Linked DNA regions of Lytechinus pictus. The protein of the gene in region 1 purifies or fractionates together with the protein of each later gene. This does not show direct contact. Links are inferred from orthologs where the notes say so. Each region holds a gene or a part of one and is shown in the gene's direction. Other genes may lie near its edges.

Region 1 (16,474 bases):
TTTGGTTGGAAAAAACTGGAAAATGGTTGGGGAAAAGAGGGAGAAAATGTGAGAAAATAAAAGAAAATATATCAAAATAATTATTTGGGCCTATACCCCGGAGAAGTTAAAATGACAACCGTTTTGGGTCATCTTGCTGTGCAAGACGATACCACACGCGTGTATAGCTGCCAACTTAGATTTAAAAAATACTTGCACCAGCCGATAAATATCATGAATCGTAAAATACTTGCTTCTGTCGATAAATATCATAAAGAAAAGTTCTGTCTCGTTCGTTCTCCTTCTGTCAAATTGAAAACAAAATGGCCGATCGATACCAAAACGTATGCGACATAGACGTCTAACTTTTCCATTTTTTGAGGGTCCAGTTTGTGCCTCGATGTCAGGATTAGTGTGTCACGATAGACCTTCATCCATATAATCGAGGTAAGTGCATAATTTATTTTTTCCCCTTTTATTTGGAGTGCTATTGCGACCACATTTTACCCCATTTTGGAGAATATATGTTTGACTAGTATTACAGGGATGAGTCCTGGGCTCCGGCCCGGAGCTCCCTGGGTTAGGCAAGGGGATAAGTCCATGCGCGACCATGGGGTCTCGAAAAGCACCCTAATTAAAAATATTTTCCATATTCTGAAAATGCACCCCTTAATAAGTAGTGCTGCCACCAAACGGATATCCGAACAGTTTCCGCCCGCGTGGACGGATAACGGTTTTCATTTTTCGGGTTCGGGTATCCGTGGACACTGATTCACCACTTTCCTGTCACAACAACTCATTAAATTTAGTAAGACTCACCAACAAAATTTATAAGTTTTAGTCGCCAATATAATCACCAATATCAATTAATCTTCTTCGGTAATATATTCCCGCCGAAAACCATTGTTTTTATATCAGTTTTGAAACATGACCTTATATCAGTTTTGGAGCATGACCGTCCGTGAATGGAGTAAAGTTCCGTTCTGACAACGATGGCGATTTTACTATGGTGTCGCTTAAGATCGTTTTTCTTTCCCGTCTTATGTTTTGATGATTTCAAATGCGTAACTCATCGTATATTTTCTTACCTTGACTTTCAATGCGAGTGAAGAAGATAATTTGAAACCATTAAAATTGCTCAAAAACTTGATTCCATGTACAAGGTCAATGCAAATTGTGTTTTTCAACCAAAAATCATAAATGTATGATTATTTTTACTTTTGTTGGTTCAAATGGATTTATTTTATGCTATTTATGATCGCAAAAGAGTCCCAGACAAAGTTCATCGGAAAAAACAATAAAAAACAAAGGTTCAGAAAAACAAAGAAATACAGATTAAAAAAACAAAAAATACAAAAGAAATTAAATTTTTTGTGGATATTTGTTATAAAGGTAAAAATTGATACTCTCACCAAAAATTAGCATTCTACTAGATTGATAAATAGAGTTAAAGGCAGAAACATTAAAAAAAACAAATTTAGGGCAAATTTCATATGCTTATTTGTATAATTAATTAATGAAAAAATATAAACAATTATTTTTGTAATGTAAATTTAATGCAGAAGTACATGAAATTGCTGATAGTACACTTAATTGCATGTAAAATCAAACACACATTAATAAGCGGAATTCTACTACACAGTTGGCTTGCGTGAGTGGCTGTATAATAGAAAACATTAAGTTCAACAAATCCACTTTTAATATTTTGAACTTGACAAAAATAAAGTAAATATGCTAAAACCATGTAATATTACGGTTGTAAGTAGTTTAAGTATAATTCTTAATTTACCATGCAGTGTTCCAACTTGCCCCATACCATGTTCCAACTGAACGCTTGCGATGGTCTTGTTCAAGGTGGATTTTTCAGAAACCATCATAGAGTTAAAAAATTTATGGGGTACATCTGAAGCCCTTAGATATATGCTTCAAGCTGATATAAGAAAATCCACCTCAATGTATATCATGTAATTGTACACTTACAGTTAAACACATCCTCATTGAATGTGCTGATTTTGCACATATTCGTACTAACTTTTATGATGTTCCTGACCTTAAGGACGTTCCATAGTTATGTTTGTGCGCATTATGATCTGCGCATATCTAACACTCTGCGCGCTGACGTCACAATGGATGAACAGGTGATTAATTAGCTGTGGGTATGAGCTGATTTTTCTTATCATCTGCACCCTAATTGCAGATCCGATGCGTTATTTTATGAAGCTAAATAACTGGAATTATTCCATGGATTATTTAAAAATATCTCTACAATTTCAAAATACTTTACTCTGCAGTACTGCCAAGAATCACGAATATGACCCCGAGTTTGAATAAATAGTAGAGTGGTTTTGATTTTTCTTCACATAGATACAAAGCATTTGGCGTATTTTTGGTGTTTTAAAAAGCACATTTGCACTAATAAAAATGCTGATAGTTTGAAAACAAGCACATGAACCCCTATTTTTTAATGTTTGTACCTCTTAGGTATACCTTCCTCTACAACTTTGCAAATTTTGGTGAAAATGACATGGATTTTGAATAAAGTGCAGCATTTATTGTACTTTTGTAGTCTGTTATTGAAATTTTACATTTTTGAGATTTGGTTTTTGTTATCTTTTAGGCCAATTTTAAGAACTGACTGTGCTGTTAGACTTAAAGTTGCAAACAAATAGCACCATAAATAGATTCTCCAATCTAACGATACAATTATTAACTCTCTTGCGAAATTTGATGAATTTTTCATGTATTTTGACTGAGTAATAGAGGTTTAAACTCATTGTAGTATTCTTGAGAGGTCTAAAAATGCCAAATTCTTTTGAATGCGCAGTACTTAACCCTTTGCGTGCGGGCCCGCGAAACCGGATACCTCTCCCTGCGGCGGAGCTGTTTTTGTACATTGCTGGTATATGGATCTGTGGCGGTGTTTTCCTAATCTATTGCTAATTGCGACAAACTGAAGTATTTTCAGGATTTTTAGTAAATGTAAAGATGAAAGGTCAGACATTTTTCTTTCTAGAATTAAAGGTCTCGCTTCTCAAATCAACAGAATAGTTAAGAAATTTATGAGGAAAAAGTCGTGTTTTTTTGTCAAATCTTCGCTTTTTCCCAAGTCAATAGGCAGTGTGTACAAAAATGCGTAAGGGCAATCAGCACGCGCGGACGAGTCGGGTTCGATCGATACCGCTTTGTTGTCTGCTCTGGTGCTTTTTTCATTGTCTATTGTCACGCTACTCATGAATGGTCTCTTTACCCCCTTGTATACAGATCATTTGCAAAGTGTATAATTACGACGATAATCCGTTTGGGGTAAAATCACAGCATACCAAATACCTCATTTTCCAGAATGAATAAAAAAGGGTGAATATTCCCTTGCAAGTACGATGATGATGCTGCGCAACGAAAGTCCGAAACTATTTTGTGATTTTTGGCTTCTGGGCTACAAGACGGTGGCCTCAATGTTTCACTAAAAATCGCCTTTGGCTTCTTCTTTTCATGAATTATAGTTTGTAATAAAAAAATAATTTTGTTCCTGAAGATTGCATACCTGTCTTCGATTTGTTTTCCTGTTGCAATTTCAAAGAGCGAAGGGGGTAAATATGACTCAAATAGTGGATCTGAAATCATACCTCCAAACGCTCTCCTTGTCTCGTTCTACGTTTCATTTTTCTATCTCCCTTTTCCCTCCAAAATAACCATGCTACCGATTACTCTTTGTCACAATGAGAAAAAGTAAATTATTTTTATCTACTGAAATGGTAGCATCTAAATTTAATTCAGATGCTTTTAATTTAAAAGTGTTTTATTTTGTTCTTTCATTTTATTCGTTTTTAACCGTTCTGGATTTTTTCACAACCGAAAACAAAAGTAATAAATAAAGAAAGATTTGTATCCCGTTTTGTCTCTATCTTTTTAATCGTTCAATTAAATACAGATGCGTTGGAGTCGGTAGGAGGCGTCAGTCCACCCCCCCCTCCCCATTCAGCAAACGTATACAAAAACGCGAAGTCCATAAATTTATGATTTTTAGGGGCCGATCACTCCCTCGCACATTCAGCTCAACCCCTCCATTATAAAAAACGCTTAGCGGTCCCTTTTATTTATCCATTTTTTTTTAAATATTTGAGTTTTGAAGCTCACCAGGGTAAGCGCCCCAATAGTATGTTTGCCGTAAAAAATATAAGGTCAACCTGTCTTTTTTTTTTCTTTAAATGGATCCTTTTCTGCTACGCTATTCGGCAGAAAAACAAAAGACAAAAAAAAAAAAAAAGAAACTGGCGAAAAAATTAATAACATTTTTAGGGGGGGGGGTAGGTGCAAGATTGAGAGGGGTTTGTCGGGACACGTCAAACAAACATGGTTTTTTTCAGGTGGATGCCTCAACGTAAATTATCATTCTATTTCATCAATTTCCGGCGAGGAAACTTTTAGTTCATTGTTAGTTTTAGCGTTTGAACTGATTATGCTTTGTCGAATTTTCAGTGCAAAAATTTTCACATGGGAGAGAAGGAGAGAATGAGATGAAGAGCTTCCAAAACCTAACATGACAAATTCATTCTATAAAATGGCGTGAATTACAAATTGAGGTGGGGGACTAGTATTCTATAATTCTTTTTAAGTAAATATTTATGCAATAGCAAAAGCGCACATTATGGTTTACATTATACCTTTTTGGTCTATTTCCTCTTTTTTCCCTTCCATCCTTTCTGTCGTTTTATTATTCTCCTATAGATGTATCTCGATTTGCATTTTCTATTCTTTTTTTAATCTCACTTGCATCTTCTTCCATCCCTATGTGTATCATCACCCAGGGGAAATTGTGTTTTTTTTGTGAAGAAAGCACTGTCATGCTCAAGAAGAAAATGTTCTTGCCATGTTTTAAGCGCCTGCATGTGTTGTCAATATAAATTGAGTAATCATTTACTTTTTTAATGTTGCTGTCCTAATATGAAAAGCAGTATTCCTAAGAACTTTTTGTATTGCTAAATATTATCCTGACGAAATACACTAATCTTCCTTTATCCAGGGTGTTGGCTATTTGTCCCCTGCTCTTTTTATAAGGAATTTGTTTGAGTGTCCGCCATGAATTTCTTTTGTTTGGGGACTGCCGAGACCAAGAACTGCATGGACGTTTTCATTTTCAAAAGAGCGGAGGATAGACGGTGTTCTAAATTCCTTTATTTTCTGTTTGTTTCCTTTGAAATAGAAGACAAAAATAAGAGCAATATCGGATGAGAGAACGAGGGAAAGCGGGAGGGGGTGGGGGTTCAAAAAATTACCAGGGGCCCGTTTTATATAAAATTTGTTTACTAATTTTCAATAACACTTAAAAGCTACTGAAATCCTCCTATTTGACTGGCGGATGGTAAATGTGTTTAATTTTTGCGCATTTGTCAATATAAAATGTACATTTATAATGTATTTATAAAACGGTACCAATAAGGGATTTCTTCGTTTTCCCTTTCTCTGGTTTCTAACCTATAAACTGAATGTATTATCTACCGCTTTCATTCCCTTATATCTATCGTCTTTCTATGCCCCTCCCTTCTACACCTTTTTTCTCTGAGTTCTTCTCATTTAAATTATATCTGTACATATCGTCTTCCGTCTTCCCGATTTGGATTACGAGGTATATACCCGCCCCCATCCCCCCAATCCTTTCTCTCTGATTTTTCCTTCTCAGTACCTGTCATTTTACATTACATCTAACGTCTCCCTCCCCTCTCTCTCCCTCTCTCTTCATCGGAAACGCTTCCGAGAGAATGCCTCGTTTTTACCAACTTGTATCGGAGATGGGCCTCTCGTCCTATTGCATCGTGGTCATTATGTCGAAATTTTTGGGGGGTTTTCCCCCAGTTTCTCAAATAATGTCCCGAAAACCTTTTAAAATTACTATTGTTACTGTCATTTCATAATAAATTCTGTATCATCTTCCATTTTCTATATTGATAACGTGGGTAGATATCTTCGCAAAATACAATACGATGATGATCATCATCGTATGAAAATGCACAACTAAACTATTTTTTGTGAACTTGGGGCTTAGGGTTATGGCAAGACAGAGACCTCAATCTTTCACTAAAAGTAATTTTCTTTTTTTATATTTTTTTCATAAATCAAATGTCTCATTTAATTCGATTTTCCACGCAGCTATTATAGTAATAAAATAATTTTGTTCCTGAGCTTTGCGCACCGGTATTCGATTTGTAATATCCTGAAATTATTTCAAAGAGTTAAATCGAATAAAAGTGACTAAAATTATGAGTAAAAAATCATACCTCCCAACTCTCTTCTTGTCACTTTCTACGTTTCTTTCTTTATCTTACTATTCCCTCAAAAAGAGCCATGCTAGCAATTACTGAAATTAAGAGAAAGTATTTTTTTCTTGAATAAATTATAGCCTACGCAATAAAAGTTTTTTTTTTATTTGTTCTTTCGTTTTGTTCTATTTTCAATTTGTCTCATTGGTTTCACAACCGAAAACAAAGTAATAAATAAAAAAAAAACATTCCTAATAGTTAGAATTCATTTTTGTCTCTATCTAATAGTACAGAGGCTGCGGAGTTGGTAGGAAGTTTCAGTCCTCACCCCTTTCAGCAAACATGTACAAAAAAAATCCGAAGTCTCTATAAATTTGTGATTTTTTGGCAAGTCCACTCCCTCCCACATTCAGCTCAACCCATCCATTATCAAAGCGCTCAGCGGCCCCTGTTTTTTATTTTAAAAATCAGATATTTTGGTTTATATGCTAACCAGGGTAAGCGCCCCAAATGTTTGCAGTAAAGGAAACAATTTTTTTCTATATGAAATCTTTTCTACCACGCAATTCGCCGGTAAAAAAAAGAAATTCGCGAAAAAGTAGGAAAATCAATAAAATTTGGGTCGGTATCAACCTTTTTTTTTGGGGGGGGGGTGTAGGTCACACATGAATAAAAGTTTGTAGGATTGAGCGGGTTCTGTCTGGTGACACGCCAGACAAACGCGTTTTCTTTATAGTGGGTGCCTTAACGTAATTTCTCATCATATATCATTCTATTTCCTCCATTTCAGGCGAGGGAACTTAGTTCATTGTTGGTTTTATAATTTGAAGTGATAATGTTTCCGTCAACTTTTCAATGCAAAAAAAATCATCTGGGAGAAAAAAGGAGAATAAGATAAAGAGCTTTTAGAACCTAACCTATTATAAATTCATTCTGTATATTGACATGAATTAAATAATATATTTTTATTAGCCGTCTCTGTCTCTCATTCTCTCTCGTTCACCGTGACATATAAACATTTTTTTTCTATAATTTCCCTAAATGATTCTTCTTTCATCCTCATATGCATCATCACCCAGGGGAAGCGCTTTTATGCAAAATGGATCACTGACCGATGTCATAAGCACCTGTTTTGTTGGTAATTGAGACAATTTTGTTTTCTTTTTTTTAGATAAAGTATGTTGGTCGGAAAAGTATTTATAAAAACTTGTTGTATTGCTAAGTACGAAGGGCATTCAATAGGTAATCTTGCCGATAAACGCTAATCTTCCTTTTGTTCGGGGCGTTGACCATCTGTATCCTGCTCTTTTCGGAAGGAATTTGTTTGAGTTGCCGCCCAGACATTCTTTTGTTTCGGTAGTGCCGATATCATGAACTACATGGACGTTTCCCTTTTGAAAAGAGCATAAGATAAATGGTGTGCTAAACTGCTTTCTTTTCTCTTCTTTTTTTAGAAAAGTAGAGAAAAATAATGAGGGATGATGGGGAGGGAAAAAGTTCAAAAGTGCACCGCGATCAGCTCAAAGTACTAAAAAGACATTACAAGCTTTTTGTTTTTCTGAAAATACAATCGATCGATGAAACCAAGGAGATATCATTCTATCTAGAGTGATATCGTCTTGATGAAACAAATAAGACGAAAATCGTGAATAAACGCGTAGGTTATTACGTGACGATCTTCCAGAAATGATTTTAGCTTATCTTTCAAAACAACGATATGGATCAAATCACGTGATCAAAACAAATCACGTGATCAGGCCTAGTGTGCGCGCGCGTACGTGCACGTCACAAAATTTATCCTCCCCGTCTGACTCCAAAGAAAAATTCGGGTAAAGTTGAAACGATTTCCTATTTTAGGGATTTTTCTCCACGTAGCTGTGTATTTTTTTCATTTGATTGTCGAAATAGGTTTATAAAGGAAATAGTGGGAAAGGTTTTAGTACATAACAATTACGAAAAAGCTGAAAAACTTCATCGAATTAAACCAAACAAATATCGGCTTCTGTAGAAGCCCGTCGTAGCTAAGTGAACGACTCGCTGGGCTTCTGTGGAAGCCCGTCGCACGCAAAGGGTTAAGAACATCAATTTGGGTGAACTTTGAAGCTCTACAGCAAAAAATCAAGCACGTGGACCTATGTTAATTTTTGCGTATTTCGAATATTAAGGTTCTAAGGTATTTATGTGCAAAGTTTGGTGAAAATGACATGGATTTCACTTTAACTGTGGAACGTCCTTAAGACATTATTTAGAGATATTTCACGATTATGTATTGTAAATTTCCTAAAGGAGATCAATCTTTTTATTAGATTTTAGGTGGGAAACTGTTCGAATCCCAATCACAACAGGTATACCCTTGGGCGAGGTATTTTATTCCAATTGTCTAGTCTTTCGGAGGAGACTCTAAGCCGTCGGTCCCGTGTAAAGGAGAGTCACACCATTTGCACGTTAAAAAACCTACTCCTCTTTTCGTAAAGAGTAGGGAAGTTATCCCGGGGAAGTAGTTAACGTATTAATTTATTACTGATAATTACTAATTTATAATCCTGTTCCTTTGTAAAGTTGCATTAGGGTAATTTGTACTGTATTATAGTAACCTTTCCAGATTAACTGTCTGACACTTATATGATATGCATGTGTTGATAGTGTCGTTAATTTTTTATCAATCAATCAATCAATCAAGCTGATATATTGATGTTTCTCAAATAAAATCTATTTGGATTTTACAGCCATTTTTGTCAAAAATGTTCCAACTAACCCCGGTCTCCCCTAACTTGGGAGTAATTTTTGTAATCACCAGAGCGCTCAAAAACTTGAATTTTGGGCATATTTTTGTGTATCGTGTACGCCCTCTATTAGTGGATAGTAATATGGCAAGACAATTGTCATTTTTCAATCTATATTTTTAATTAAGAAAAAATAATTTAAAGAATCAAATTTACTTGTGAGCCAAGTTATATGATGAATAGCTGTAATGGAAACTGACAGTGGGGCAGTTCCACGGTTACGGAGTGACGCAAAAATGGACATGTATATTTGAGGAGAAAACATATTGCTCAAACTTCTAGAATTTTCAATTGCTGTCATAATTTTGATTTATTGATTGGATTCTATGTTCTAGCTTTAATATGCTGTGCACATTACATTAAAAAATTTGTGTATTATTTCATTAATTACGACTTAAAACGTAAACCCATACCCAGTTACGGAGTGACATCAGAAATATCCACTCACGGGCAACGCAAAATGAACTTATAATTTTAAATGTTTGTTTGATACGATGTAAGATGATGACCTTTAGATTATCCAAAAGAAAATTTTACAAAACAAGCATAATTTTTTTTTTAATTGAAATTAAGTAAAAAACAATATATGAAGTCCCATGTATAGAAGTTCTTGTATGGTTTGGATTCTCCTATAAGGAGATGCGTAAGAAAAAAATTGTAGCTATTTATGTTCCCCTTTTGTATATTTATGAAATTCCATATGAGTTTTGATAGAAAGATTTGATCCAGATTTGAAATAGGGCCAATATAAATTTTTGGAAAATGTCCACTTTTGCTTGAAACTGCCCAGTGTAAAAAAATCAAGCATTTGTCCCAAAGAAAAAGAGAAAATATGCCAAACATTGCCAACCTTATTTCACCACACAGGGAGTAGTAACAGAGAACAAGGTTGTATCATAACCTTGTTCATAGAATGAGTGTGGGATGCTATGATTCTATGAATGTAAAAAAAAAATGTTTTTTAAATGCCTAATGTGTTTTCTAGGATGCTTCCCATGGTTGAAATGTGATGAAGTCTATTTTAATTCACTGAATCTATTTTTAGCACTCCCACGCTATATCTTGGTAATTGCCATCTATGTCCCGCAGGGGGAAAAAAAAACTGTCCCTATAAACAAGGACAATCTCAATTTATCAAGACATGATTCGTCTTGGTTTATGAGGATATCCTTTTTTTTCTGGGACAATCCCAATTTTTGGACCTCTGCCTATACTGATAAAGCTGTTGGTAAGTTAAAGGACAAGTCCACCCAAACAAACACTTGACTTGAATAAAAAGAGAAAAATCCAACAAGCATAACGATAAAATTTCATCAAAATCGGATTTAAACTAAGAAAGTTATGACATTTTAAAGTTTCGCTTCATTTCACAAAACAGTTATATGCACATCTTAGTTGGTATGCAAATGAGGGAACTGATGACATCACTCACTCACTATTTCTTTTGTTTTTTATTATATGAAATACAAAATATTATAATTTTCTCCCCATTGTCCTGTGAAACAAAGTTTTATTTCTCCCTGAACATGTGGAATTACCATTGTTTAACATTTTATGGTTCAGTCAAGTTCAGTTCAGTTTGTCCTCATTGTCAAACCTGTAAAACTTGAAATATTGTATAATTCAAACAATAAAAAACAAAAGAAATAGTGAGTGAGCGACATCATCGTCTCTCTCATTTGCATGTAACTGACTCGTTCATATAACTATTTTGTGAAAAATAAGCGAAACTTTAAAATGTCATAACTTTCTTATTTTACATCCGATTTTGATGAAATTTTCAGCATTATGCTTGCCTGATTTTTCTCTATTGATTCAAATCAACATTTTTCTGAGGTGGACTTGACCTTTAAGAGTGACTTTAAGAACGACTGGTGATCCTTTCTTGTGGTGAATGATATTCAACATCAAATGTTCGTTGGTGATTATTTAGCGCATAGGAAAGGTTCACCAGTCAGTCATCTTAAGTCACCCTTAACTTACGAACAACTTTGTGAAACCCCCACTAGGTCCAGGAAGGTCAGCTTTTGCATGCATGTTATTACTCTATATATTTTGTTAAATAGGCTTCATTCCTATTTTAGGATTGCTGGGTATATATTCAATGATATAACCAATTCTTTTTCATGGTTAACATTTTTTTCTATGAATTCCTTTTATGTGTGTTTATATTTGTATAGATTGATGCGTACATGGAAGAATGTGCATTAGTTTTGGATGATTCAACTCTTAAGGACAGAACTTCCAGAATGAAGAAATTATTTGAACGGTAGGTCTACATGTGGATTGTCCAAAATAGTTAGGTCATTGTCAAAATAAATGAATAAAATTCAATAGTGTTTGGCCTAACATACAGTTGTGTGTTATGCCTGTATTTCATCATAGAGCTCTATCACTTGCACGTTTTGATTAAAATCATAGTATCATTCATATTTGTAAAACATTGGGCCCTTTAGTTTTAAAGGGGGGGGGGGGTTAATATGATTTTCTATTGGTCTTCATTGTCAGGCATACAGTCAGTAATTTTTTGTCAAAAAAGTGAGTGTAGCATATTCTGTTCAGGAATGACAATTGATGTTCTATAAATTCTCACCCTTGTTTTTTTTTACGCAGATGTGGAACCTTGAGGAAAAAATGCAAAGCACTTGAAAAAAAGCTTTCAAATTTATCCAAGGTAAGCTTGAAAGGAGATACAAGAATTTGTGTAAGAATGGGGTACCTTACGTAAAGATGGGCACATTCTATCTCATAACATCTATCTGTATACATGTACATACATCATCGAGAATGAAAAAAGAGTTTGTAAAAACTAAAAACCAATAAAATAATGTTTTCAACTCATAAGTTTTACATGTAGTTTGTTTATATTTTTGTACAAAACCCCAAAGCATTAATTTAAAAATCAATCATTCAGGGCTTCATCATAAGACTAGATTATAATCTTTTTGATGCAGAGTGTCCCACTGTGGCCCATGCCCCCCCCCTTTCCCCTAAAAATAGATCTACCTCTACTGACACTATATGACTATTACAAATACTTTAATTAATGAAGATGGTGATAATGAACAGAAAATGTCTGAAATGTAGGGTACATGACATGAAAGACATTATGATTGTTATTTAAAGGTCGCATTATGGTTAGACCTATTATTTTCTTCATTATCATTGTTTATTAATGATTATTTATCTTCATCACTATATTCACCATCATAATCATTATTATTACTATTTATTACTGTGTATTTTTTATTTCTGAAGGGTAAAGAGCCAACAGTTATACCCAATTTTGATGAGGTTAGATGTGATGAGTCGGACCGTATGCATGCACTTGAGGTGAGATATATTTAAATATTTATTCATCATGAAACAATTATCAAGTGACTTCTGCTCAGTGAGCTTGATTCTGAATGAAATCAATGTTATAAATTGATGCACTTGTTTTCTCATGTTCTCTATTAAACTTAAGATATGACTCTCATCTTCCATGAAGCAATACAATACAATTTATATTGTAGTCAAACTTAGATTTTAAAAATATTTTGAACGAATGAATAAATGTGTAGAGCTCTATTTTGTTTAATATTCAATTCTGCTACAGATAACTCTAAAGAAGAGTTACAGTATATCACTTAATTGTTGGCAGATTATTAAGAAGAACTGTAATCTTACCTGATCATCTGTTTGGATGATGTGTATGTTTGTATTTGATATTAGGTGAGGTTGGGGAAAATAGGTAATAAACTGGAGCCTGATGAAGTGGAGCAATCTTATTTCAAGTAAGTGATGTGTTTGTAGTTTTTAAAATGTAATCAATATTTGTTATGAATAATCAACAAACAAGTTCAAATCTAACATATTGAAATGAGGCCATGAAAGTTTTTTTTTTATACATGTATATTAAATGATAGATGTAATGAGAATATCAGATTAGTAATACAAAGCTGACCTAATAAAACTGGTTTAAATCCTTCAAATGTAGGATACATGCATTGGTGAAAAAATGAAAGAAAAAAAACTAGGTAAATTATTTCAGATTTGTAAAATGTGTATGGCATATTGTGAAATGTTATTGATTGTATTAATGTAACATATAATGCAGCTTGTTTCGATATGCTGTATCACTAGAAGCTGAAAAACTTGCAGCAGATTTATTTTGAATACTTTTTCATTTCCAACATGACCAAGGTTTGTCTTACTGCACATGAAAGCAACACAAGAATCATAAAAGTGATTTCTGGTGAATTTTTACTGGAGGTGTAAGGTTATCTTAAGGTTTATTTTTTAAGTTGGTGATAGGATGATTTTGGAAATATTTGTTAAATATACTTGAATATCTTTAAACATTGATAAATAAAGGGGCAAGGACTTTCACATTCTAAAATGAAAGTATAAATCAATCATTTTGATTGATTTAGAAAGGAAGCCTTCCCATAGATTATAAGAACATGTGTTTTATAATTTGAAAATAAATTATTTGAAATCAGTATAAAATAGTGACATTTGTTCATATGGTTTATGGTGGTTATTACTGTTGATGTTAGTTTTTCTTGTGGGCTCAAATAATTTTCCTTTAGACTTTTAGGCTTTTATGTTTTGCTTGCTACATGATGTTTGTTGGAAATTTTTGAGTTTAAGGGTGTACAAGTCAGCCTGTACATACAATGACAAAATATAGGAAGTCCTCTATTCCAGCAGATGTAAAGTAATAAATTTTTGTGACCCGGTATGCGTTACCCTGTTTATGAAAGTTCATTTGCATTTAGCATTTTAGCGTTAACCTTTTAATTCCCTTCTAATTTCTTCTAGTTCTTTTCTCCCATGAATAATACACAACAAATAAACGTCAAAATTGATGTTTTCTGATGTAGCAATATGAAAGGTAAAGACGAAGCTAGTGAAAGACAGGGAAACAAGCCATCAACTGGATGGGCTGACAATGATAGCGATGATGACGATGATGATGATGATGACAATGACGAAGAAGATGAGGAAAATGATGGTGAAGGAGAAGAAGAAAGCAAGATGGAAACTAGCAATCCAGAGGAGGAAAATGATGAAGATGACGAAAAAGAAGATGATGCAAAGAAGACAAAGTTAAAACGATTAAGTGTATTCCGACGTTCCAAGACTGATAAAGGTGATGATGATCCAGAGAAAGACAAAAAAGACAAGAAAGACAAAGACAAAAAAGATAAAGATAAAAAAGACAAGAAAGACAAAGAAAAAAAGGGAAAAGAAAAGTCAGAAAAGGAAAAAGAAAAGGAAAAGGAAAGAGAACGTAAAGAACAAGAAAAGAAGGAGAAAAAAGAAAAGGAGAAATTAGAAAAGGAAAGAAAAGAAAAGGAAAAGAAAGAGCAGAAGGAAAAAGAACAGGAAGAGAAAAGAAAGAAGAAAGAAAAGGAAATAGCTGCAAAATCAGCAAAGAGCAAAAAAGGGGAAGATGGTGATGCTAAAAAGGAAAAAGATGAGGATAAACGACCTGACTCACCTACTAAAAGAGGCTTTGGAGCTAAATTATTCAGTCGAGACTCAAAGAAACCAAAAACAGATACGTCTAAGCAAGAAATTGTCGAAGATGGAAGTGATGATGATGGCGATGGTGACGATGATGAAGATGTGGTGGATGGAATGGATAGTGAAGAAGGAGAAAGATCAGAAGAGGACATGGAGGAGGAGGAGGAAGAAGATGAAGAGGAGGAAGAAGAGGGACTTGAAGATCTTGAGGAGGAAGGAGAGGAAGAGGAAGAGGAGGAGGATGAACAAGTCAAACAAAAGAAAGTTGAGCCTACACAGGACAAGAAGAAAGGATGGAGCTTATTCCGCAAAGACAAGTCACCTCAAAGGTTATTCATGTTTTCAATGTAGTTGATGTGCTGTTTTACGGTGATGGTGAATCAAAATCTTGATGTTGCCTATTTCTTCTAACATATATTCAACTCTTCCATCACATTTAATACAAACCACTGTCCGGTTGTAACAAGATGATCAAACATTTGCATACATTTTCATTTTCTAAAATTGCACCAACCTGAAAGTATTGTTAGTAATTTTTTATTGCAATCATTTTTGCTGTGCAACATATGCATACAAGACATAGAAAGGTCTTCTGGATAATTAATACTAATGAGTGCAGAATCAATTCACACATTATTTATTGCCTCTATTATTTTTTAACTGAAATACATGAAGTTGACATGTATATTTTTGTTGACATGATGATTACATGAAATTATAATCATAACAATTGTTTTAACATTATTATTACAACAATTGATAGCTGTATAATTATAGCAGTCGATATTGTGCTTATAAATACACCTGTTTGAAAGCAATGCAAATGCTTGATTAAATACCTTTCAGAGGTTGTATTTCTTTTAAGCATAATTTTCTACATGTATGATGTTTCCATTAATCTACTTATTGCACCTATTTTGTTTCCTTGTCAATATATATCTAATTAAATTTTAGTGGAGGTATCTGTTTCAATTGTGTGTGCTGTGTTTTAACCCAACTAATTTATGTAAATGGTGTTGGATGCACTTTACTATTATTTCACAACTCCCTGATGTCAGAAGCATAAGGGTTTCCAAATAACAATGTGTTCATGTATTGCAAACATATTTTGTGATGATAACTTATCTTTTCACAGTATTTTCATCATAGACTCAAACATCTTCTTCCCCCAAGAAAATCTTTCGTAAATTGTAAATCCCACTGAAAAGAAAATGTGTCATTTCTTTATGGAAGGGGTTTCAAAACTGATGCACAATAAAATCATCCTTTACAGTTGTTTTTTTAAAGAAAATATTTTGGCATATGGAGATTCAATATTTCAGCTGTAGTATGGTTAGTTATTGAGCTTCTTTTGAAACCAAGTTGATGTGCTGGTGTCCTTTGGTAAGGAATTAATCCTTACTACCATGTCCCTTGGATATTGTGTTGATATAAAGCAGTTGGTCCTTTGCTTACATGTATTCATGTTCTTTTAGCAGGTGATACAACTGTATAACAAAATGGGGAAAGTATTTTTGTCATTATCATCTATTGATTTATTTTTAATCTTTATTTTGGGAGAGGGGATAGATTATTCAATTTCTATTCCAAATACTTGTATTAAGCTGAGCAATATAAGTTGCAACTTGTCAACATTAATTTATACATTTGTTTGTCACTTGTCTTTTAAGTTTCAGCAAAATGGAAGTTAGAGAAGTTGACATGAGGTTGGAATTTAAATTATTATTCATTTCATTTCATATTGCCTTGCATAGGATGATATGTTGAAAAATAAAAAACAAGCTTAAAAGTCATTATATACTGCGTAAATTAGAATAAGTGATTTCATTTTTTTTGCAATATGATTGTATTACTAAATCTTTTCCAATCACAACATTTTCTTGCTTTCAGTCAGTGTTTCAATTGCTGTTCATTTGAATTCCATTTTCCCTTTATAATGTTCTT
Region 2 (16,957 bases), on another chromosome or scaffold:
TGCTACAGCTCTGATCCATCTACGTCATAATAGATTAAAAAAAAAAAAATACATCAAACGCGTTCTTCATGCAATCGACGCGTTAGCATTAGCGCGTACATCAAATAAACTACCTTGTTACGCAACTTGTATGCAGCGAGTGACGTCACCTTAGTGAATATAACGCCGCAATTGAAAATACAACGCAGTATATTCCCTGAGGTGACGTCAAAACCTAGAATATAACAAATGCGATCCTCGCAGCTATGGTCACGTGATGGTGTATTGACCTATCACTGATTCGAATCTACATAACGGTTAACCTATGTAATATACACTATTGTTATAGTATTTCTTTTTATTTTATCTACATGTATTTATTCATTTTTTTTTTTTTTTGGGGGGGAGGGGCCTACTTTTCACAACCTAAGGCCTGAATCTGAAACATACATGTAATATGTACATGTATGGATTTTCCAGGGCTTTTTCATTATCCAGGGCTCTTTTTGAGCATTTTGGGGATGAAATCTCACTGAACTCTGTGTCATACAGATCAACATTTTTGTATGATGATCAATACAATCATACAAAAAATCTTTCATACAGAAAGTATGAATAGTATGAAAGATGAAATGGCCCCCTGGAGGCCGCTTCATGAAAGTTGTCAGCACTGACAAGTTGTCTTTCTCCAACAGTTACCATAGTAATAGTCAGAGGCCAGTGCCTCTCAGCCAATCAAAACCAAGGATTTCACTAAAATTGTCAGCACTGACAATTTAGTCAGTGCTGACAACTTTCATGAAACACCCACCAGGTGTATGCACTCATTTCAGTGGGATTCATGTTATACTTTGCCGCCATCTCTTGACCAGACTATGCCAGTTTCTTGATGTGTACTTGCAAGAGTAGAAGAATCTCAACATGAAGATTTCTAATCACTCTTAACTAGGTCATAAGGAAACAAAAATGTTTTGTTAAATTGTTACATTCATGAATGCAATTTTTCAAAAATTTAGGCCAGTTGTTCAGATACATGTTGGTAAACTAAACAGTAAAATTACACACACACAAACAATTATATGAAATATTTGAAGCTGCAAAGACTGTGGCTTCTGTGGCTACATGTATATTTTTTTTACTTTGACTACTCCAGCTTTAAAATGTAACACTAGGTGGTTTCAGACCTCCTCGAAGTTCGTCAGTTCCAGGTATTTTCTGATCGGGAAATTTACCCCGATCAGAAAATATTAGGTAATATTGGCAATGTGAAAACAAATTACGCGTAATCTCCCCGAAAGAAAATACCCACTAAATAGTAGGTACATAGTCAAAATTATGAGAATTTTCGCGAGGATTTTTCCAAGGTCGTAGGTATTTTGGCAATGTGAAAGCAATTTACAGAACTTATAGCCCAGCGTGTAGTTGGGCGCGGGCGCCTTGGGTGGCTGCTGAGCTAGTGATTTTGAATCTCGCGCCTCGATTGCTTATCAGACCATACTGCTCGTAACTTCAGGAACTTATCTCAAAGGGTATGTTTCGGGCGGTGTGAATGCAGGAATAATTAATGGGTATTTTTTTAGCCTAAAAAAGTTCTTGTAATTTAACAGGGATTCTTGTGATCGAGGCGATTTGAAACCACCTACTTTGGTGTTCTATTTTTGTGGGTATGAAAAAAGAAGAAGGGTTGGTCAGTTAATTACAGTTTTCTTTGGCCTAACCAATAGAGACCTGTGGGCTGTGGTGGTATTCTGGAACACCATCATAAATTGTCATAAATTTTGTCATTTCTCTCCAGAATGTGACACTGCTATGATTGTCACAAATCTGTATTATGAACATTGTCTTTACCCTGTCATATCTGTCTAAGTTCCCTTCTATCTCTTCGAAGGCAAGCCAATCAAAATGACCGTTAGTTCTGAGTCGGAGCCCTTCTTACCAAAAGGAAGGCCCGGCGGCACTTGGGGCGTATTCTCAATACAGTAGCTGGCATCGCACGACTGCTTTTATATTGATGCGCTTGATTAGAAAGGGAGATTATCAGATAGGGAGCTGATAAGGATCTTTTGCTTGTATGTATATTGGGATTAAGCACATTTAAACTAAAACCGCATATTTACATGTATGTGCGCGCTTGAGAAGAGACAAAATTTATGACAATGTTATGACAAAATTTATGACGCCCACCAGAATACCAATTTCATCTCTGAGAAAAGAAAAAATATAGAGAAAAGACAATGTTCAGAATACTGCCCTGGTCACAATTATTATATTTCATGTCCCACTTTTACACCTTGTATTAATTGACACGCTATTTCAACACAATTCCCATAATTTATGAACAAAAATAGTATTGGATTCTGATGTATTCTCAGTTTGATTCAGTAACTAAAAAAGTTGTGTATTTTATAAAACAAACAATGGTGCCATACCTGTAAAGGTAGTATCCAACACTTTTTATCCTAATCCTACCTTTTTTATTTTGCATTGTATTGTTTATTGATTTAAAAATTCACCTGTGACTCCATTATCTTTATGATTATGATGAACATAATAAACATTGTATATAGAATAAAATAAAAGGCACACACAAGTAAAAAAAAAAGCCTACATGTAGATTTAAATATTTGTTAAAATTAAGCGTCCAACCACCTACTCTTAATGTTTTTTGTACCAAATGAGAAAAGTAAAATGAATTTTGTCTGACCTCATCTATTTTCTGTCTTTAATTTTTCAAGTTGCAATTGCTGAACTTACACTTCATGTAGAAACCACTAAATTTTACTCATAAAAATTGTGACATTTCTTTCAGTAATCAGGGGATGCACTAGATTGAACATGAAAAAAATTATACAATATAACAAAACAAAAAAAAATAGAAAAACAAAATATACTGCATGAGAGTAGTTCTCCCAGTTTCTTATAAAACAACAATATGATAATTTTAATAGCTTCTTGTTGGTGAGGCATGGCTCTCTCCTTGGAATACATACATGTAGCTTTATATATCAATATCATTCTTAATTCATCCACTCTACCAGCCCTCTGGCGCCCTATCAATCGAAGCAAGAGCTTTGGCCTGAGTGAAAGCAATCAAACCACAGACCATCTATGTCGCCGTCGCTCTGTTGATTATGACAAAAGCAATTGTGCGCTTCTTTGCCTCCCTCAGAATGCGGACAAGACCGATGTCAAGTTGCATCTCTCTAGCCTTCATTGTTCAAGGATGTTTTCTTGCATTCAATGTGTTCTTTATTCACCTCTGTGCCCATGCATGTGACATAATTTGCATAGATGCGGTCTCAGTTTGCTATGACAATGCAACTGCAAGTGTTCTATCCTCTCTACATACATGTACATGTAGCGCTATATTTTCTGTACTTGGGAGAGATTTTGTTGACATTTTTGGCAGAGTTTATTTCATGACACTTAATTTGAACAAATCTTCTGGTGGAAATAACTTGGATTGATTACTTTTGCTTGTTCTTGTGTCAATTTCAATCTCTGTGTGGATCCTTTAAAGTTTGTATTCCTTCAATGTTAAGGATAGGATTTGTGATCGAAAATCTCTTTGTTTTGTATTCACTTTGATGCTCATCTTGTGGTTTGTTGGAGATGTCTCGGTTAGATTGCATATTATTGGGTTTCATTTCACCTCATCTGTTTATGAAATTGTGTATAAGACTCAATATGAGTCCATGGATTTGAAGTATGTTGCATTAGTTTTTCTTTTCTCTACATCTAAACTACAGTTTTTACAATCGGTCATTGCAGTGGGTTTTTTTTACAGGCTTTCATTAGAAAATTAAAATCTCAACGATATGCAGTCCTGCTGTACTGAATACACGAACAGACTGACTGAGGGCTGAAATATTTCAGTAATATGAACAATCTTGAAATTGTCATCTTTATATTATTGTGGTATAATGCTTCATTTTTTTCTTACTTTCTTTACAATATTTTCTAGCTACAGGTGTTTTTTATGGATTACCATGATTGATACATGTATTCTTTGTTTACAGAACTTCCAAGATGCTTCTGAGGACCGTTTCATAAAGCTGCTCCTAATTAAAGTTAAGAGTGACTTTAAGAACGACTGGTGATCCTTTCTTGTAGTAAATCAGGTATTCACCATTAAATGTTCATTGGTGATTATTCAGAACGTGAAAAAGGTTCACCAGTCGTTCTTTAAGTTGCGTTTTGAAACGCCCACAGTCAACATTCATTTCCATTTTCACTGATCCCGTGTACTGAAGTTGACTTTAAAAGTTTGAGGGCAGAAGAATTTCTTTCAATATTGCTTTTTTATTTGGGAAATCCGTCCGTGGCCCAGGCAGAGAAGGCTCAGATACATGAAGAATGAAACGGTTTTGGGGAAATTCTCTGCTACTGTACAGTATTGCTCATTGTCAATAGTCTCATAGACCCCATTCTCACTATACTGTCCTAAAACTACATGTAGTTAAGTGGAAACTAATAATGTGTAATGAGAACCGTCGAAGCCGTCTTGGAAGCGATCTTCCAAACTGGTTCAGAAAACCACCTTGCGATGTAGTTTTGAAGATTGCTTTGCCTCGTTGAACTGATTTTAGCTTACATAGTGAGGACACAACCGTTATTCGGGAAGCGACCTTCGCATATATCGAGCGCGCTACTCCACACACTATATGTGGAATTCCTACGCTGCGGTTTCAAATTTCGCATGAAACATGTCACCCCACTGAGAGTGTTCCCATAGCCACAAGACCGCTTTAATACGTGAATTGGTTTTGAAAACCACTTTCGGGTGATCAAATGGGAACGCTAGCAAGGCGATCTTCCAAAAGTGGTTTCCTGAACCGATTTCCAGTAAACTAGTCTTAGAAAGTATAATGAGAACGGTGTCATACACACATGACTTAAAGTCCCTATTAAATTTTTTTTTTTTAATGGCAGTGCTCTCTGCTCTTTGCACCTTCCAAACACTTTGATTCAAAATGTAATTGAGGGTTATAAATTTGGATAATGATTTTCCACCATTAAAGATGTCATTTCCTTCCTTTGCAGTCAGCTTTGTGTGTTACTTTTAGGCATGTTTGCTGTCGCCATGCAATCCAGCTAGAGCTTAGTACTGCCTGTTTGAACTTGAAAATATTTTGTTTGATTTGCTTGATATTCAAGCATCCCTGTGTACACAGGAAACCTCGGATCTCAGGGAAGAAATATTCAGCTTGTCACTAATTATTACATGTACATGTACATGTAGATTCCAGTTTGAAACTGTGAATGTCTGATGCAAGGAGTTTTGGAGTTGGCATCAGCATCACTTGGTCTATTTTTCTAATGTTTGATTGGTATCGGATTTATCAAAATACTGCAATTGGTTTTCACTTTCAATTTACTATGATTTTGAGGATCTAAGTGCTTCACTAGATCTGTTGCAGAATAATCACAAACTTTCTCTTTTTTCCTTGTCCCATTTTGATCTCTTTTCATTATTTTGATCTTTGCATTATAAGCATCAATTTGATTGGTAAGAATGGCATTGAATTTGCTATATGTACTTGGATTCTTTTTACTATTCACATTTGTTGATTTCTACTCATCAAATTCAATTTTTGTACTGTATGTGCTGCAGCAATGGATAAGGTTCAGAGAGGTTTTTCAATTGTGCATTGGATAATTTTATTCCTTTTAGATGACCAAGGATTGTTATTAACCTGGATTTTTTCGACCTGGTGTGCTTTTTTGAAATGAGGAAATATCTGCCATGGGTGACCCCAGTTGGTGTCAAATTTGCCAGAAGAAAGGGTGACTGATGGAGTATCAAAAGTTTTTTGGAGATTGTATGGGTTCATTTTGAATCATTAATTGATGATGTTTTCTGTTTGAAATGAAACAGCTCATTATAAAAACCCTAGAGACCTCTACAATATCCTAAGCGATGTGATATGCAGCTCTATTGTTATTGCCAAATAATGTAGAGACAGTATACCCAGTTGTTGTGTGTCCGGACAGGTTGTGTGTCCGGACAATCAATTTTAGAAAGTCATTTGGAAAAATTTACAAGGGAAGTTTTATCAATTTTTAGTACAAAATGTCAGGAAATATTATAGAGAACAAAATAGAAGATGATTACAATTATTGATTTCGTATTTTTAGTGTAATCCAAAGACAAAAAAGAAGGCTTCAAAAATATAAAGTGTCCGGACACCCGACCCCCCATCCTATGCTTTAAATCTTGCTTGCAGACTTTGAAGAAATCTTAATCTGTTTGGTTGACATCTTGGAATTTCTCCTCTTTTTTTTGACATAGTGAGTGGCAAATTGAGACTTCTCTTTTTTCAATTTTGTTTTTATTTTGTTGATGATATGTTTGTCTGTGCATCTTTTCAAAATGGGTTCCAACAAGATTTCTGACAAAACCAGAAAAGTATGAAATCTTTGATTTGAAAAATCTCTGTTACACTTGTCACTATAATTATCAAATTGAATTTACATTGAACTTTCCAAGTCAAAGTTTTTGGCATACTTTAATCAGTGGTTTTGGATAGTTTTACATAAGAAGTAGGCCTAATATTTATATCAGTCCCAATTTCCAATTGGAAATTTTAATTGTTGCCAATTAAGATACTTTAAAACACAAGTAATTATTTTACATGCATGATATGACATCTGTGACAGTAAAGAATGTTTTTCTTGTATTCTAGTTCCGAAAAAATGTAAATGATGCAAAAGGATTTCGCTTACAGTGTATAAAAGACTACCACAGTTATATATATGTAATACATATCATATAAAGTGCCACCTACCTTTCTGTATAACATCCATTTGAAAATTTTTAAGAAAAATAGAGAAATAATTTGGAGGCAAATGAATCTTTTGCATCAACATTCCTCTACACTGTTGCTGTACTAGGATAATCAACTCACTTCGTCATGTGGAAGGCCATAAGAGAATGTTTGGTAAAATTTCTGGTGCTTTAATTGTATGACATCCTTGATATGATGAAGCATTTCCTTTTCTACCAGTGGCACAACTCTTATTGATTTTGGTTGTGCGTGGCATGGCCAAGTTCTCAATAACTTCATTTGTAAACAAGTCCTGCCATTGCATTTTGGTTACCATGACAACCAGGGAAACAGCAAGAAGATGCGTGTTCCGAGCATTTTTCCCCAATGAGGCGTGTAATGCAGGGAATCTGTTTTTCCTTTGGAGAGCGGGGGCGCATCGTGGTCTGGTATTGATCGGCGGTACAAGATAACCCTGAGGGAGTAATCAAACTGCTATCACTTGAGCTAGAGAGTCCGAATGACTTTCGTAAAGCTTGTTTTATTGTCATCTTTCTGAAAAGAGAGTGGAATTTTCCCTCGTTTTTCTCAAATGATTTTCTCTTTCTCATCTTTTGCTTTGAAGATTGGGATATTCGCTCCTGGATTTTGTTGTAAGGAAAATACACTTTGTACAAGTTTTGTATTAACTTCAATCTAAATAAATCATCAAGGATCTGTTAAAGGTGATCTACACTTACCCTTTTCCTGCTTCTTGTGTTTCTTCAACTGTCAACTCTGGAGAGGAGGCTGTCGGAACTGGATGGAGGCCAGAGACTTTCATAGACTGAAAATAAATTGTTGCTTACTTTTATAGTCTAAAGAAAGGCAGTAGTAGACAAGAGATATCTTCTATGATCTACATGTACATCAGTCTGGTCTACATGTACACAGTTTAAATGTAGGAAATGCAGTGAGGTTGTTTGGTACTACATGTAAGTCTGATCTACATACCTTTGAACATGTGGGATAACGAACAGTCTGGATTTTCATTTGTCTGCAATGCACATTACATGTACTTGATGTACATGATGATAGATTAGCTTTAGAAACACACATCAGATTCCAAGACTACAGGAATATTGATTAGAGTGCATATCAGGATTTTTCATTAGTTCGCTTCTGAAGTCCTCAGTTCATGAAATTCCTTCAGGCATAGTAGAGAAGCCTTTTTGTTGCGTTGATATGGTCGGAGAAGGAGCCAAGAGTTTTATTACATTTATGTTTTTCAATATTACAGTGTCGGTAGTACTCATTGGGTGCTTTTACACTTGCCCAATCACCAAAAATACATGTACAGGCACCTTTTATTTGGCCAGTATGAACGCAAAGTAATATTTCCAGTATAAAATACGCACAAATTGATTGCTGCTTTTCAAAATTATTAGAAATTTTGTCAAGATTTGTTTAAGGACATGGCAAACTTGGAAGTATTTGAGGTGTGAAAGAAAATTAATTAATAGAACTTGTGATAGAAAGTAGGAAGAATGCGTAACACTCTAAAGTGAGTCTTGTTGTAGGCAAATACATCTAAGTAGAACTTTATGTGGTTCAGAGAGAGTGTGAATGCACTTATATATTGAGGTCCGACCAAGTTCCATAGATATTTTTGTTATTTGGCAAGTGTGAAATGTCAGTGTATGCCTGTCGACAACATTTGCATTTTTTTTTTTACACGTGTTCGTTAATGGTTTTCCCAGACTTCTTGTGCATGCACTGAACAGCTGGTTTAGTATGCATTTAGAGATATTTATAGATGTCAATAAACTTTATGGGTACAGTATCTTGCCTAAAATGCCACCTTGCCATTAGTTTTATTGCTTGAAGTGAAGAGTACTGCATTGTACATGTAGATGTAGGCCACGTCTCAAGAAACTAAAAGGATCTGCCTCTTGCAGTCAGTCTTGTGTTCAGTTTCTGGCTTTAAGAGAAATAATTTGTGCTAACAGATCTAATTTTAAGATGTTCTTGATGTAATTTCGAGAATGTTTTGTCTTTGCATTGAATATAGAGCTGGAAAGTACATTAATTGGTATCTGAACTTTTGGTTCTTGCCAAAGTTCTGTTTCTCCTCTTTTGCAAGTTTGTTTTGATAGTTTGCACTTCGTAGGATGAGGGATATATCATATCTATGTTGTGCGATTATAGACCTCTTGTGAGGTTGTGAACTCCATTGAAATGAGACCTTGCTACCATTGTCTTTAGGAGTGGGTCATCTGTTCATATCTACTGAAGATCAGGCCAAAGTGCTCAGTCTCTTTGAGTAATGTCTTTACCCCCGCTATGTGAACAATGAAAGATCATGAAAGTGAAGAAGAATCTTTACACGAGACTGGAATCCATCCAGGTCAGACCACAAAGCACAAGGAATCTTCAACATGGACACCCAGTACTCTGATTCCCTCACAACCTCCGCAGTTACTGCTCACACCAGAATCCACCCTTGCCTTGTGGCAAACTACCCCAAATGTCTGGATCGACAAGAGCAAGACGATTACCCAATCGAGCCACCGTTATCCGCAGCGTGCAACAAGTTTCAGTCAATTTTCAAGCCTTCCGCGTCACTTCCGTCTGTCCGAAGCAGCGCCCCACACCCAGTACCAGCAGACTTGGGATGAGATAGAAAGTATTAAGCAGGAGCTGTGTGTAAAGCGGGTGATTCCTGCGGATTATCGTAGAACAGCTGTTCGTTACCATGGTGATGAGACGGTGGACCGTAAGAACTGGGTCCCATTTATCATCTTGGTTCATTCAGTGGATAATGTAGCCCACGATGTCGAAGCTCAGGTACAAAGTTTTTTTAAACTGGAACAGACCTCCAGGGAGGTCAGTCACAGTGCTGTTCCTGCTAGAATCCCATGTGCTTTATCGTTAGTCTTCATACATAATTCCTTTTCTTTTATCACCTTAAGAAATTCCTTTTCTTTTATCATTTTAAGAAATAGTGAAATTTCGAAGAAAAATCAATTGATCTGTGTTGAAAAACATGAATGTTTCAAAATACGTTTACATGGAATTATGTTCACTGTAGAAATATTTTAGAATGATGATAAAGAGAATCAAAAGTCCTAATACATGATGTACAGGGGCCGATTGCACAAAAGGGTCTTTCCAAGGACCGTCTTTCGTGTCGCCCATCTTTTATGATGCGCTGTAAGCGGGGTGTTTCTGAAATTTATGATAAACAAATAAAATTTGTAAGCTTGCTTTTAAATCAAATTTTATACAATTTCATGAGATATCACATCATTTTGTAAACAAAAATATTCTGTTTATTTTAACGGACAAATAAAATATATTTGCAGATAATTTATTTGAAATGCGTTTCACATGGCGTATCATAAAAGATGGGCGACACGAAAGACGGTCCTTGGAAAGACCCTTTCGTGCAATCGGCCCCAGGTACTTGTAAATTCTACAGATCATAATACATTAAAGACTCTACATGTTAAATCCTGGTGGGAGGTTCATAAAGCTGTTTGTAACTTACGAGCTACACTGTACTTTACGATCGGCTGGTGACCCTTCCTTAAAGGTCAAGTCCACCCCACAAAAATGTTAATTTGAATAAATAGACAAAAATCAAACCAGCAAAATGCTGAAAATTTCATCAAAATCGGATGTAAAATAAGAAAGTTATGACATTTTAAAGTTTTGCTTATTTTTCACAAAACAGTGATATGCACAACTCAAATGAGACAGTCGATGATGTCCCTCACTCACTATTTCTTTTGTTTTTTATTGTTTGAATTATACAATATTTCATTTTTTATAGATTTGACAATAAGGACCAATTTGACTGAATCATATAGTATAAAACAATGCTCATTCCACATGTTCAGGGAGGAAGTAATCGTTGTTTCACTTGACAAGGAGGAGAAAAATAGGATATTCCCTATTTTATACAATAAAATACAAAAGAAATAGTGAGTGGATGACGTCATCAGTCTCCTCATTTGCATACCCAACAGGATGTGCATATAACTGTTTTGTGAAATTGAGCAAAACTTTAAAATGTCTTAACTTTCTTATTTTACATCCAATTATGATGAAATTTTCAGTGTTATGTTTGTTGGATTTTTCTCTTTTTATTTAAATCAACTTTTTGTTGGGGTGGACTTGTCCTTTAAACACCTTATCAACACCTTTGGAAATCTGGTAGCACAAGAATGAATCCCCAGTTGTTTGTAAAATCGATCGTAGCTTAAAAACAGATTTTTATGAAACATCCACCAGGATTTTTTGAGTTTGTAAAGACTTGAGCTATACTCACACATGTAGCACTTAACTTAGTAAGTACTGTATATATTTTACTTTAACAAAGCTCATTTATGGACAAATAATAAGATATTTATTATCAGATTGTTCCAATTCCATTATGAAAGTTGATCTTGACCGCAGTGCATGCCAGGAGATGGGCAGTAATTGCTAGATTCAAGGCTGTTTCATGCAGCTCTGGTTTTGTCACAAAATTGTAGGTTAATTGGATATAGATCGAGAATCAGATACAAATAGAGGGTACTCCACAAGCACTATAAAAAGAAAAATGACAGATAAATTAGAAAATGAAACAAGTGGGATGATTTTAAGCTACAATGTACAGTGTGATGAGAATATTTTCTTTTGAATATGATGTACATGTTCAGCACGTACTGTTTAATGAACCTTGTAGTACTTTAAACAACCATGCATAATTCATTGAAGATTAAATATAAAAATGAAACTGTGTACAATGTAGTTTAAAATTTAATACTACATTACACTACAAATCGGATGCATCCGAGAATAAATCAATGAATGGTACGCCAGGCTGCTTAATGTGACATGAGAGTTGGAATTTTTTTTTACATTTTTAAACACTTGTTTTAATTTTTGAATTCTTAAACACTTGTTTTCATTTTTGAATTTTTAAACTCTTGTTTACTGTAAGGTTCAAAGAGTAAATATGTAATTGTATAAAACTGCGTATACTTAAATTAATTCTGGATTGAAAACTTGTACAGGTACATATTTATTGTTTTAATGAATTCATCAAAATAATCATCATTTCTTTTCTCTGGTTTGTTTACTTTTTAACAGGAAAAAGCCAAGAAGCAGACCCAATACCAGCTACGGTTCAGTCTTTTTGACGTCACTTTCAAACGGTTCTTTGGTCGAACCCTAGTTGGACCAAAGAAGGTTTGCAAACAAAGCGCAAGCCATGCTCCAAGACTGCAGTACAATTTAGTGAGTATCTAAACATTATTTGAAAAAAGTAAACCCTTCCCATGTGCTCAAAGATCGTCATCTTTTTAGCCCCAGACCTCCTCATTTAATTTTTAAAGAACAATTTCGATTCTCAGGGATGACAATATCCAGACCAAACTAAAATAACACTGTATTTTTCTTTTTAGTTTACTTCTCGAGAATGAGATGAATGCAATATTCCAAGATATAACCTTTGTTCGCAGCTTATGTACAATCACTTTGTGTCAAAGGTCTTTCAAAATAGAAGACGAAAACCTTACCAGAGAGAATGCTACATGTATATCATCAAAGGTAAAACTCAATGTCACACAAAGAATCAACCTATCAAAAAATTACTAGTGGCCACTACCGGTAATCATTTGTAATTGATTGTGAGATGATATTCCAATGCAATTCAATCTGTGAAGCCTTTTCAAAAAGTTTTATACAGGCTTTAGATTACATGGAGTTAAATCATGTGATTAAATAGAGTGTTATTTACTCAATCTCTTTCCTCATCTAAAATGTATGTAATGGACTTGTATTTAAATGCAATCAACTAATGAAAAAAGGTTACCGGTAATTTAATGCAATAATGGAGATTAACATGCTCTTCGACATGCATGTGGTCATTTTCATCAAGCTAAATGAATTCAACCAAAGTCAAGTTGATGGCCGTTTCCATGACAACATACAACAAAGCAAGTCCAAAGATCCCATTGATAAATGTGTCAACAAATGAGGGGAAACAGCACGTTTGCATTATATTTTGATGATGTACAGTGTATATTTGTGCTACAGCACGGATGAAGGTGTACATGTGTAAAGGCATTTTTATTGATCTAGTAATGAATATGGGTGTGCATTTATGCAGCTTAATGGAGAAATAAAACAAATTTCTTGAGTGCAGCAAACTTTGCACAGTATATGTATATTTTTTTTATCTTAGAGGTTGTACATGCACACACACACACACATAATTTGATTGTTTAAAAGAGTGCTTTATTCTGGAATCCTGTAAAAAATAAGTTGTATTTATTATTGCATAGTACATGTAGTAGCAGCAGCAGCAGCAAAATGGAGCAGCAGTAGTATATTTAGGAGTGCAGATGGGGGGGGGGGGGCACTAGCCAGTCAACAGTGTAAAGAAAATGTTATTTATGAACCAGAATCAGAATAAATTTGTATTGTTTGTATTATTAACCCTGCACATTATGATATCATTCCCCCGGGGTATTATTTTTATGGGGGTGTGCCTCACTAAACTCTGAAATGGGGTCTATTAAAGGAACTGACTATAAGGGTAAAGTACGGGTCTTGGGAACTAGATATACATGTATACCGCGGTGTGTGAAAAACAGGGTCTACGGAATGGAATTGCGGCACTGTAGGTGCGGTGCACCATAGCGCTGTGAATGCGCTAGCCATGCATGGACCGGCTACTTGTTAGGCCTTTTTGTAGGGAGTTGCGAAGCAATATGTGCATCTCTTGCAGGTGGTGCTCGCGCTTGACAACTTTGGCAGGGCTGGGGAACTGAGATGTATCATAACGCGTCTTGCGAGCAGGGCTGTGCGGCTTCTGAACTGAACTTTTGTCATTCGGAGTATCTAGAGAACTGAAAATCAGGTCTGAAAACAGGGGGTCATCAGAGCGGCACATATCCCTACCACCAATATATGTGAGTCCCCCCCCCCTGGATCATGCCCTTCTGAATCTTATTTTTGGGTGGTAATTTGATTCTGTAGTACACGTACATAGATAGAATAATCTATTTTAAGAATGCTGACAATTTTGGGAGTTTGCAGCATTTAAAATCATGAGTGCAATTCTCAGTAGTGTGAGTGTTATGTAGTATAATTTATCATGGTTCTGAACTTGCTCTTAACCATTTTTGGACTTTTTCCCAGGGAGTTGAGAAAATGCATGCATTTTTTTTTTTTTTTTGCGGGCATGCAAGGATCCGATGACTGGGATACGTCTTTCAAATGTACATGATGTACATATTAAAGCGCTCTGTAAAGTATATAAAATGGAATACATGTATCATTGACTTTTGTTCTATTTTTTTTCCAGCCTGTTTACTTTCACACGTCATTAGCTGACCCTAACATTGTTTTGATTGTTGAGATCATTGCACTCATCAACGATGCTAAGACAGGCCCTCGTCAGATGTCATGTGGCTGGTGTGTGCTCAGGCTGTTCCAACAAGGTATCTGTTGTAATCATGGTGATACATTATTGCACCTATTTTGGTTCTGTGTCATTTACTCTCGGACAATTGCTCCACTCTAAATTCCACTCACTAATCAAATGGCCAACTTCAACCCTTGGTTTAACACTTTACCCGACCTAAATTATCTAACATCAAACCCTATTGCACTCCTTACCCTACATCTTAAACGGAATTAAGCCCGGAGCGATTTTCACAAGAGCAAATGCTGTGTCACCCTTATTTTAGTACAGCATGTTTCTGTTTTTGTTCCAAATGTTTGAATTGTCATCTCAATGAAAAATTGTTCTTGAATGCCATGGGCTTTAATAATTGCAACATTTTAACTTGTGGGCCATTGATGATATCTCATGCGTTCAATAAATTGTACTCGGGCCTGAATATCTGAATGCCTTACTACTTATGAGTCTTACCTGAAGACCTTTCTGTTCCCCACTCTAACATCATTGCAAGAATGACATAATATTGTAGCACTAGCTAGTGCAGTAGGATTTAAACTGAATGATGATTCTAAGCACTGTTTGAAGACATTGAAATTTGTGAAACATTTCCTGTTTTTGAGCAAGAGTCAACAGAGGCGTATAACGATGCTATGCAAGAACTTCATCATTGGGTGGAAACGGATGCAAGTGCTGCATTGGGATTTGAACCCAAGCCCTTATGGTTCAAATTACAATATCCAGAGAGTTACCCACTGATCCACATCTCATGCTCTTCTTTCCATCATTGTAATGCACAACACCAGTGCAACAAACAAGCCTACATGTATTTGATGTCATATTGATGATATTTCTTTCAGCATACAGTTGTATTGATTATTGGATGTAATTTCCAATTGCTTGGAGCCAAAATGCATCTGTCTGCATTTTAAAATCATTTCCACATACACTTCCTCACCTGATACTGTTGTTAAAACATTTAACTTGTACATGTAGGTCTAATGATTAAAAAAATAAAATTGATATTTACAGGCTTTTTTTTCTTTTTTTTTAAAATTCATGATAGTAATACAGTCAGTTTGCACTTGTTACTTTGCACAATGAAATTTTGTTTCTTTTACACATTTTCTGTGCTTCTATGTAGAAATTAGCTTTTTCATTTTAACATGGTTTGTAATAATAAGTCATATATTAATATTTCATTCAATGTACGTGTATTTTGATTGACCTACTGTATGAACTTTGAATAGCATGTCACAATAGATACATGGTGCCTTAAATCAAAATAGGACATATCTTTTTTTATTGTTGACCCATACAATTTATTCAAACATTTGATCTCTTTTAATAGGTGATATGCCAGACACGTCTCAAGCAACACCGGCCCCTGTGAGGAGGGTGGATGTCTACCATGGTTCCCCTAGAGCTCTTCTATACCTAGAAGATGATGATATTGAAGGTAAGAACCGAATATATGTCGCAATCAAATGATAGAAGATAAAACCTTTTAATATTTATCTGTAATCTTGTAGAATGTTCGAAGTTTGTGGTTATTTCCTGTATTTTGAGGATGCAGAGAAGAGAATCATCAAATGTTCAAAGGATAAAATTATATTAAGTAGATTCTCCATCAGAAGTCTTTCGTAAAATACTCATCAATAATGATTACTCTGGCTTTAGCAGACAAGCTGTTATAATATGCCCTGTGTCTAAAAGGCACCTACATGTAACAAGCAATACAAATCCTATAGTATATCATAATTAAATTCGTTGAGAAAAATGAAAAAAAAATGACTTGAGCAAGATGGTAGCGTATAGGCGGTTGCTTCGTAGTACCACCACATTTTGCTTACGTTTCGCATAACAGCATCATACTTGTAAAAGCAAAGACAATTTGGCTGCAGCCTTGGCCTAGATGATCAAATTTCCACCTTGTGTTCCAATCAGGTAACCCAAACATCACCTTCGTGTCCGACTGCCAGCTGTGTTTTACCATCAAGACCCACCGCTACCTGGAGAAGATCTTCCATCTACTACCAGAGAACATCCTAGCTCTAGGAACTGACATCATTCCTGGTGTGACCATTGTGGATGCTAACTCGGGTAAGGATGTGCAGACTTGCCAATTAGTAGGATTTTTCAAAGGGAAAGTGACACTAAAGAGGATTTTATCCCCAAGAAATGGGATTTTTGAAACTTGGAAGAATTATTTTTTTATTTAATGTTTTTTTTTATTTCCCTCCAATAGGGCATATATTTGCATAAACATTTTAACAATGATATAAATAACACAATACAAAGCATATCATACATGTACACACATATTGTAATTTTGAACAAAGTATAGGCCTACAGGGCGTTTCAAACAAAAGGCAACCGATCCCTAGAGTGGCCATGCCCTACACCCATTTGTTCTGCCGCCGACACATGCAACAGCAAAAACAAATGTGAAAAAGACCATACCTACTTTTGAGAAAATTAAACAATATGTAAGAAAATGTTACAAAAATGAGAGGCAAATTAGTATTATGGAAAACAAAACACATAAATTTGATAAAAAATTGGTAAATTTCGAAAGAATACTTGTCATTTTGTAATAAGATTTCCGGACCTTAATATGTATTTCTGTTTAATGTAAACATATTTTCATGATGAATATACAGTGTGTTTCAGGTGAGAGGTGATCAATTATTGCTGGAGGGGCCGTGTTTGGTGCTCATTTGTTTTTGCTGAAACGTGTAAGAATGATGATTTTTGGTATGTTTTTCAAAATATT

What was found.
Region 2: the proteins of nephrocystin-1-like (region 1) and nephrocystin-4-like purify together in Homo sapiens (co-immunoprecipitation; 6 studies listed by BioGRID and IntAct, with this or other methods). This does not show direct contact. The link is inferred for Lytechinus pictus from reciprocal best matches to the Homo sapiens genes NPHP1 and NPHP4.

Annotation. Positions count from the first base shown.
Region 1 is NC_087251.1:6,643,641-6,660,114, forward strand, and holds the start of nephrocystin-1-like, read left to right. Parts: upstream 1-7,310; 5' UTR 7,311-7,371; intron 7,372-11,196; 5' UTR 11,197-11,208; coding exon 11,209-11,285; intron 11,286-11,629; coding exon 11,630-11,690; intron 11,691-12,274; coding exon 12,275-12,349; intron 12,350-12,730; coding exon 12,731-12,792; intron 12,793-13,884; coding exon 13,885-14,859; intron 14,860-16,474. UniProt on the Homo sapiens protein: Together with BCAR1 it may play a role in the control of epithelial cell polarity. Involved in the organization of apical junctions in kidney cells together with NPHP4 and RPGRIP1L/NPHP8. Does not seem to be strictly required for ciliogenesis.
Region 2 is NC_087258.1:14,950,635-14,967,591, reverse strand, and holds the start of nephrocystin-4-like, read left to right. Parts: upstream 1-8,835; 5' UTR 8,836-9,077; coding exon 9,078-9,572; intron 9,573-11,864; coding exon 11,865-12,011; intron 12,012-14,085; coding exon 14,086-14,221; intron 14,222-15,532; coding exon 15,533-15,640; intron 15,641-16,128; coding exon 16,129-16,284; intron 16,285-16,957. UniProt on the Homo sapiens protein: Involved in the organization of apical junctions; the function is proposed to implicate a NPHP1-4-8 module. Does not seem to be strictly required for ciliogenesis. Required for building functional cilia.